Linked DNA regions of Arabidopsis thaliana. The protein of the gene in region 1 interacts with the protein of each later gene in a pairwise test. Each region holds a gene or a part of one and is shown in the gene's direction. Other genes may lie near its edges. The genes, in order: PYL7 and AT1G72340.

The links.
Region 2: the proteins of PYL7 (region 1) and AT1G72340 interact in a two-hybrid assay, tested with the Arabidopsis thaliana proteins (one large-scale study listed by BioGRID).

The regions. Positions count from the first base shown.
Region 1 is NC_003075.7:444,889-448,809, forward strand, and holds PYL7 (PYR1-like 7), read left to right. Parts: upstream 1-2,089; 5' UTR 2,090-2,291; coding exon 2,292-2,441; exon of another isoform or gene 2,442-2,665; coding exon 2,666-2,881; intron 2,882-2,951; coding exon 2,952-3,221; 3' UTR 3,222-3,447; downstream 3,448-3,921. Other genes in the region: AT4G01020 (helicase domain-containing protein / IBR domain-containing protein / zinc finger protein-like protein), read left to right, coding at 1-155; AT4G01023 (RING/U-box superfamily protein), read left to right, coding at 604-659, 955-1,291, 1,377-1,488, 1,570-1,832; AT4G01030 (pentatricopeptide (PPR) repeat-containing protein), read right to left, coding at 3,448-3,921. UniProt on the Arabidopsis thaliana protein: Receptor for abscisic acid (ABA) required for ABA-mediated responses such as stomatal closure and germination inhibition. Inhibits the activity of group-A protein phosphatases type 2C (PP2Cs) when activated by ABA.
Region 2 is NC_003070.9:27,234,653-27,238,573, forward strand, and holds the start of AT1G72340 (NagB/RpiA/CoA transferase-like superfamily protein), read left to right. Parts: upstream 1-2,144; 5' UTR 2,145-2,164; coding exon 2,165-2,650; intron 2,651-2,731; coding exon 2,732-2,884; intron 2,885-2,999; coding exon 3,000-3,141; intron 3,142-3,311; coding exon 3,312-3,553; coding exon of another isoform or gene 3,554-3,574; exon of another isoform or gene 3,575-3,623; coding exon 3,624-3,830; 3' UTR 3,831-3,921. Other genes in the region: ALAAT2 (alanine aminotransferase 2), read left to right, coding at 78-156, 247-390, 446-556, 627-764, 838-1,033, 1,113-1,267, 1,353-1,427, 1,512-1,715 and 1 more.

The DNA.
Region 1 (3,921 bases):
GCCGGTGTGGAAAGCACATTTGTTGGACCTGCTTAGACGTCTTCACTCAGGCAGAACCTTGTTATGCCCATTTAAGGACAATTCATGGTGGAATCGGATTAGTCGAGTTAGGTGTCCCAGAGCACCCTGTTGCCCAGCCTGTTCACAGGCTTTGAAACCGGACTGGACCCATGTATCTATATCCTGTAACATCTGGTTTGCTTAATGTGTACATATATGTGAACATAGTGTAGTTCGGTATAGTACCTTCTTTAACCAATTGAATGAACCGATCATATTCTAATCCGGATGCCAAATAAACTAAAGATTGTTGTAAATGAAAGACTTGGGACTTGACTCGCTACATCACTGATTACGCGTAAATGTCTACAGAGAGTTTACTAAGTTGAAAGAAAACTACTTCCTAACATACAGAGACATCGCCATTAATGGCCTTAACTTAAGAGTCAAAAAAACATTTGATGGGCCTACCCTTAATTAAAAGCCCAATTCGATATTCGAATCGAACCCACCGGCCTAACTAAACTGTTCAGTGTCCCCAAATCTTTTTGCAACTTCTTTCTTCTTCATATTCTTCTCACCGTGAAGGCGTCGTCACCGCCGATGTTATTATCTCCGGCGATGTTTTCTGATCATCACTGCTTTACTCTTACTGCGAGGTTGGTTATTTTCAAATCTTCTTCTCTCCGTTCTTTCTTTCGAAGTCAGAAACTTTGCCGCCATTTTCAGTAAAAGGGTTGATTCTACATTCCCTAGAATCATCTAATAACTAGGGTTTTCATTAGGTTACGTATTGGTTAAAATTAGTTGAAATCATGTTTCTTATTTCTCTTTTCGAACTAAATTTGGTAATCAGATCTCTAGAGTGTATGATTTGTCATAACATCTAATCGAAATTAGAATCCGTATATGTTTCATTCAGAGAATAAATCCTGACTTGTTAATTTGATATAGAATGTCAGATTCTGATGAAGCTAAAACGTCGGAGGAAGAATCTCAACTTGCTGAGCAAGAAACAGAGACTCAAGAAGGTGAAATGACTAAAAACTTAAAGAAAAGAGATCTTGATGCAGTAGAAGATGAAGATTCGAATAACGAAAGCTCCAGATTAGAGAAACTAGAGAAGAAGATAAAAAAAGAAACAGCGAGGAAGCTTGAAACTGACTTTGTGCTAACAGGGGAAGAGGATGATGATGCATTGCCCTTAGCCTGTTCCATTTGCCAAAACCCATTCTTGGATCCTGTTGTCACCAACTGCAACCATTACTTCTGCGACAAGTGTGCTCTAAAGGTAATCTTTTCCTTACAACAAGTTTCGTAATTTCTGAAAACACACTCAAAACAGATTTTCCTTGTTATTTTTTTTCATAATGCAGCATCACACTGAGAACGATACTTGTTTTGTGTGTAACGAGCCAACTCTAGGGCTTTTCGACACAGCCGTGGAGATCAAGGAAAGAATAGAGGAAGAACGTGAGAAAGCCAGAGGTTTGTTAAAAACGCAAAACTCTCTGTTTTGACACCAAAAACCTACTCTTACAAAACTCGCTCGGTGATGTCTCTTTGTAGCCATGGTAAAGGAAGTGACAGCAATGTTAGAAAAGGCATCGACAATGGCGGATGACGCCAAGGGCGTAGCGCAAAAGGTTGTAAAAATGGTGGAGGAGATTGAAACAATGGTGGAAAAAGTGGCGGCTATGGCCACAAAGGCGGGAGAAACGGCGACAATGGCGGCAGATATGGTGAAAGAAGCTGAGGAGACGATGGAAACAGCTAAAGCTAATATGTCCAAAGCCTTTGTGGTAATGAAGTCGGTGAATTGGAACGTGTAAATCGGGTCAAAACAGAGTTTTATTGTGATCTCATGCTGACATCAGCTACAATCTTTATCTAATAAGATAGATTCTCACAAGATTCTTTTATCTATCTACTTTTTAGAGAAGATGAGATCATACTTCGGAGATAGATAGGTGTCGTAAAAATTGGGAAGCTTACTTGGCAGGAGAAGAGAGATATACACACGTGCTTAAAGTCAACAGCTAATCCAAAAAGGTAGACGACAAACCAGTTAAACTAAGACACGTAATCTATCTTAAAGATTTGTCGGTTCATCGTAAATCCGTTGGTGGATTAATATATGTCGGTGTCTTCGTTGATTTTCTTAGCCTAACCAACCAAACATAAATAAAAATCGAAGCTTTACTTTGTTTGCTTCTATTATATCCACTTCCAACAAGATTCCTCAAAAGGAAAGAAGAGAAAGAAGATAAGAGATATCTGGTTGGTCGGAGATGGAGATGATCGGAGGAGACGATACAGATACAGAGATGTACGGAGCTCTAGTGACGGCACAGTCCTTAAGGTTGCGTCATCTTCACCACTGCAGAGAGAACCAGTGTACCTCTGTTCTCGTCAAATACATTCAAGCTCCTGTTCATCTTGTACGCTCTTCTATTCTCTCATCCTCTGTTTTTCTTTCTCTGTTTTCTTTATGTACTTTGTTGAAGTTAATTCTGTCTGATTCACCGGGAAAATGAAATTTCGCCGGATTTAGGGTTCCCGATCTTTCTATTTTTGTTTGCAAATTCTCGTTTTTTTTTTAGTTTACTTGTTGGTCTCTCTTAGTCTTAAAGCTAAGGATAGTGAATATACATATATGATTCAGGTTTGGTCACTGGTGCGGAGATTTGATCAGCCGCAGAAATACAAACCATTTATAAGCAGATGCACTGTAAATGGTGATCCTGAGATCGGTTGTCTCAGAGAAGTAAATGTCAAATCTGGTCTTCCAGCAACCACCAGTACAGAGAGATTGGAACAGCTTGATGATGAAGAACACATCCTCGGTATCAACATCATTGGTGGTGATCATAGACTTAAGGTGACTAAATCCAAATCTCATAGTATTCAGAAACATTAGCGGTTGCTATAATGGTTATTGTTTTCTGCAGAATTACTCTTCGATCTTGACTGTGCATCCGGAGATGATTGATGGAAGGTCAGGAACTATGGTGATGGAGTCTTTTGTTGTGGATGTTCCTCAAGGCAACACCAAAGATGATACATGTTACTTCGTGGAATCACTCATAAAGTGTAACCTCAAATCCTTGGCTTGTGTCTCTGAAAGATTGGCTGCTCAAGACATTACCAATTCCATCGCAACTTTCTGTAACGCTTCCAATGGATACAGAGAGAAGAATCATACAGAAACCAACCTTTGAAGATTTGGCTAGATTAGTCCCACGAACAAACTCAGTGAAGGAAATTTAGATTCATAGAAGCACGTGTGATCATGCTTCTCTGCTGCTTTACTCAGATCAGCTCCATGGGCCATTTTCGAGCATGCAGTCAAAGTTTTGATGTAATTTGTTTTCTGGTGTTTGTTGGACAGTGTCTGTATTTACGCACCATTGTTAGAAAAAACAGAGCTAGGTAGTATCTATATTATCACCAAGAGTCGTTGCAGGAACATTTTCCGTCTCTGAAATGATGAACCCTTGCCCCTTCTTGTAAAACAATCTCACGGTTTCTCAAAACCGACATGTATTTGGCTACGGTGTGGCTATCAGAACATATATTCGTGTTTTTGACCACTCTTATAGGAGCTAAGCCTTTCTTCTTGATAAGGCCATACGTCATTGCTAACTTCTCTGTATGTCCCATAAGCAGCTTCTCTTTCTCTGAATCACTTATGTCTTGGTGTATACAGCTTGTGTCTGGCACATAACCTGATTTCTTCATCTCAGAGACTAATTTGTACAGCTCAAAGTATATATCTCCTTCATCAGGATGTGTTTTTCCCTCCGCATAGAAGATGTGAACCGTTTGATCTATCTGAATCCAGCTCCACAGATCCTGGACTCTCACCCTGTTATTCCTCATTAAGTTCCGTATACGTTCAACATCTTCCCATCTGTTCAA
Region 2 (3,921 bases), on another chromosome or scaffold:
TTGCTATATTTCAGCTTTAGGACATGTATGCTCACGGTTTAAGATTGCTTAACATTTGATTTCTACTCTGCTATCAGTACCGATTCAATTGACCGAGCATGGAGGATTTTGGACCATATTCCCGGAAGAGCAACTGGGGCTTACAGTCATAGCCAGGTTTGTTATTAGAGTCTAGTTAAAAGTCCTAAACCCTTTCTTGAGATGGTTCTTATGTTGCTGAATGTTTCATTTTTTGTTCTGCCTCAGGGTATCAAGGGTTTACGTGATGTAATTGCAGCTGGAATCGAAGCACGTGATGGTTTCCCTGCTGATCCAAATGATATTTTCTTGACTGATGGTGCAAGTCCAGCGGTAACAATCAAAACGAAAACGTTATCTCATAGAGTTAGAGTAAGTTCTTTTAAAGGATTCATGCTAAGTGTTTTTGGTGTTTTTTACTCTATAGGTTCACATGATGATGCAACTTCTCTTGAGCTCAGAGAAAGATGGTATTCTTTCCCCGATTCCTCAGTATCCATTGTACTCGGCTTCAATTGCCCTTCATGGTGGATCTTTGGTATGTTCATATAATCATCATGGAGTAATGTTGTTTTTTGGTACAAGTTTTTGAAATTTGTACTTCTTAGGTTCCGTACTATCTTGATGAAGCAACAGGATGGGGACTGGAAATATCTGACCTTAAGAAGCAACTAGAGGAAGCTAGGTCCAAGGGCATCTCTGTAAGGGCCTTGGTTGTCATAAACCCCGGTAACCCAACTGGGCAGGTACAAACAGATTTTCAAGACTAGCCTAACAAAATGTAACATTCTTCTAATCTTGCGTTCTTATTCTGGTTAGGTTCTTGCGGAAGAAAACCAGCGTGACATTGTTAATTTCTGCAAGCAAGAGGGTTTGGTTCTTTTAGCTGATGAAGTCTACCAAGAAAATGTTTACGTCCCTGACAAAAAGTTCCATTCTTTCAAGAAAGTGGCTCGGTCTTTGGGCTATGGAGAAAAAGATATCTCGTTAGTCTCGTTCCAATCAGTCTCCAAAGGTAAAAGAACAACTTTTACTGTCCAATGCTTGTCATCTAAAAAATGGGGTTTTTGTTTTTAATATTCTTCTGTTGATAGGATATTATGGAGAATGTGGAAAAAGAGGAGGTTACATGGAGGTTACTGGATTCACTTCTGATGTAAGAGAACAGATATACAAAATGGCTTCTGTGAATCTTTGTTCTAACATCTCTGGTCAAATTCTTGCTAGCCTTGTCATGAGCCCACCCAAGGTAACACCCTAGTTCTCTCTAATCGGTTTTCGCTAAGTTCTTGCAACAGATTATGACTAAAAAGTCTAATATTGTATTTGATCAGCCTGGTGATGACTCATATGACTCATACATGGCAGAAAGAGATGGAATTCTCTCATCCATGGCTAAACGTGCAAAGGTTAGTCGAAGATTACAATACCCTCTAACGACATTTTTCAGTCTCTTTGTATATAATGTCACAAGCTTGAAAATGAACTTGCAGACTTTGGAAGACGCTCTCAACAGTTTAGAAGGTGTTACATGTAACAGAGCCGAAGGAGCAATGTATCTCTTCCCGCGAATTAACCTTCCTCAAAAGGCTATCGAAGCTGCTGAGGCTGAAAAAACTGCACCAGATGCGTTCTACTGCAAACGCCTTCTCAATGCTACTGGTGTAGTTGTAGTCCCTGGTTCTGGCTTTGGACAGGTAAAATATAACCAAATCTTCATAACTTTAAATGTCTTACAAAAGGATCGAACTTGAATAATGGGTTTTGGATTCATTGTGGTTTAGGTTCCTGGAACATGGCACTTTAGATGCACAATACTTCCACAAGAAGACAAGATTCCAGCGATAGTGAATCGTCTGACAGAGTTCCACAAGAGCTTCATGGACGAGTTCCGCAACTAAAAGGACCTGACCATGAAGATGAACTTAAAGACCCTTTTGAAGAAAAGTGTGATCAGTTTGAGTTATTAAAAAAAAGAAAACTTGTGTTTTGAATTTGATCAGGCAATTGTGATCAGCTAATTTAATTTTAGAATATTTTGTACTTCCATTCCATGGCATGTCATATGAAGATATGAAAATTAGTAAATTTATTGGGCTTATAAATGGGCCTTATATTATTAATGGGCCTTATATTTATTTTTCATATGATATTTCTGGAGAAAGCGACAGTATATTATCTTCAATTTTTCCATTTTGAAGAATTTTCTCAAGAAAAAAAAAAATCAATGTGGAGAAGATCACCGTCGTTTATTCTCGACGAGCGACGAAGCTCGAATTCACCTCCAATGGCGGATACAACACGAGGTCCTTTTCAAAACCCTGATTCCATCTCCGCTTATTACCAAACTCGCGCGGCGCATCACGGTGTCATTACAAGCGACTGGCTAGCCCAAGCTCAAGCCGCCGTTGGCGGCGTCTCAGGCGATGCCCAGCATGACTTATCCGTAACTGATCTCGGGAACGAGAAGTCGTTTAATGTAATTGAAGAGTTCAATAACTGGAGAAAACAACCGGATCTGGCTGAAGCCGTCGCGGCTATACGAGCTTTGGCTGCTGTTATTCGTGCGAGCGAAGCGAGCACCATGATGGAGCTTGAAATTGAGCTCAAAAAGGCTTCTGATACACTCAAGGTGAGAATTCATTTTTCACTTTCTGTTCATTCTTCGATTTTGTGGGCTTTGTTGATTTAAGAAATGTTCAAATTTTGGCAGTCGTGGGACAAAACGTCGATCTCTTTGACAGCTGGATGCGATTTGTTTATCAGATACGTTACGAGAACGTCTGCTTTGGAATATGAAGATTTCAATTCAGCTAAGTCTCGTCTTCTTGAACGTGCTGAGAAATTTGGGGAAATATCTTGCAAGGTACTTCCTTTTATGGCTTCTGGCTCATATTTAGTAGTTTTTGTACATATATCAATGAAGTAGATCAATTAGTATTTGATAGAAGAGGGTTTATAAAGGTTTGGTTATTGCGCAGGCTCGTAGGATTATCGCAATGCTTAGTCAAGATTTTATATTCGATGGTTGTACCATATTGGTTCATGGACTCTCTAGAGTTGTTCTGGAAATACTTAAGACTGCTGCACAAAACAACAAGCTCTTTCGAGTTCTCTGCACAGGTTCGCTTAAACAACAAGCTTAGATTGGAACTTGAGTTGTATCCGCTTAATGTTTCTTGGTTTCTCTGAGACATTTTTGTTGCATAGTCTTGACCTTATAAACCCTGTCTCTTTATGATTTTGTTGTATTAGTAGCCTCTCGCTAACTTTTTTTGGTGAAAAAATGATAGAGGGGAGGCCGGATGGAACAGGAGTTCTGTTATCGAGTGAGCTATCGAAGCTCGATATCCCAGTGAAACTACTGCTTGATTCAGCTGTGGCGTATAGTATGGACGAGGTAGACATGGTGTTTGTCGGGGCGGATGGAGTTGTAGAAAGTGGCGGTATTATCAACATGATGGGAACATACCAAATCGCACTTGTGGCACACAGCATGAACAAACCGGTCTATGTTGCTGCTGAGAGTTACAAGGTAATTGAAACGGTTTTATAAGATCCCATAGTAAGAGAGTGGTTAATGATACAAAGTTGTGTATTTGCAGTTCGCTAGGCTTTACCCATTAGACCAAAAGGACATGGCACCGGCGTTGAGACCAATCGAATTTGGTGTAAAGATTCCGACAAAGGTGGAAGTAGAGAGGTCAGCTCGAGACTATACTCCGCCTCAGTACCTAACACTCCTCTTCACTGACCTTGGTGTTCTCTCTCCCTCTGTAGTTAGCGATGAGCTTATTCAACTCTATCTCTAATTTCAACTCCTAATTAATAACTAACTATTTATACTACTTTTGCTTCAGAAGTGAAAACTTCCAATTTTGAGCCTTTTAAGATCTTCAAAGT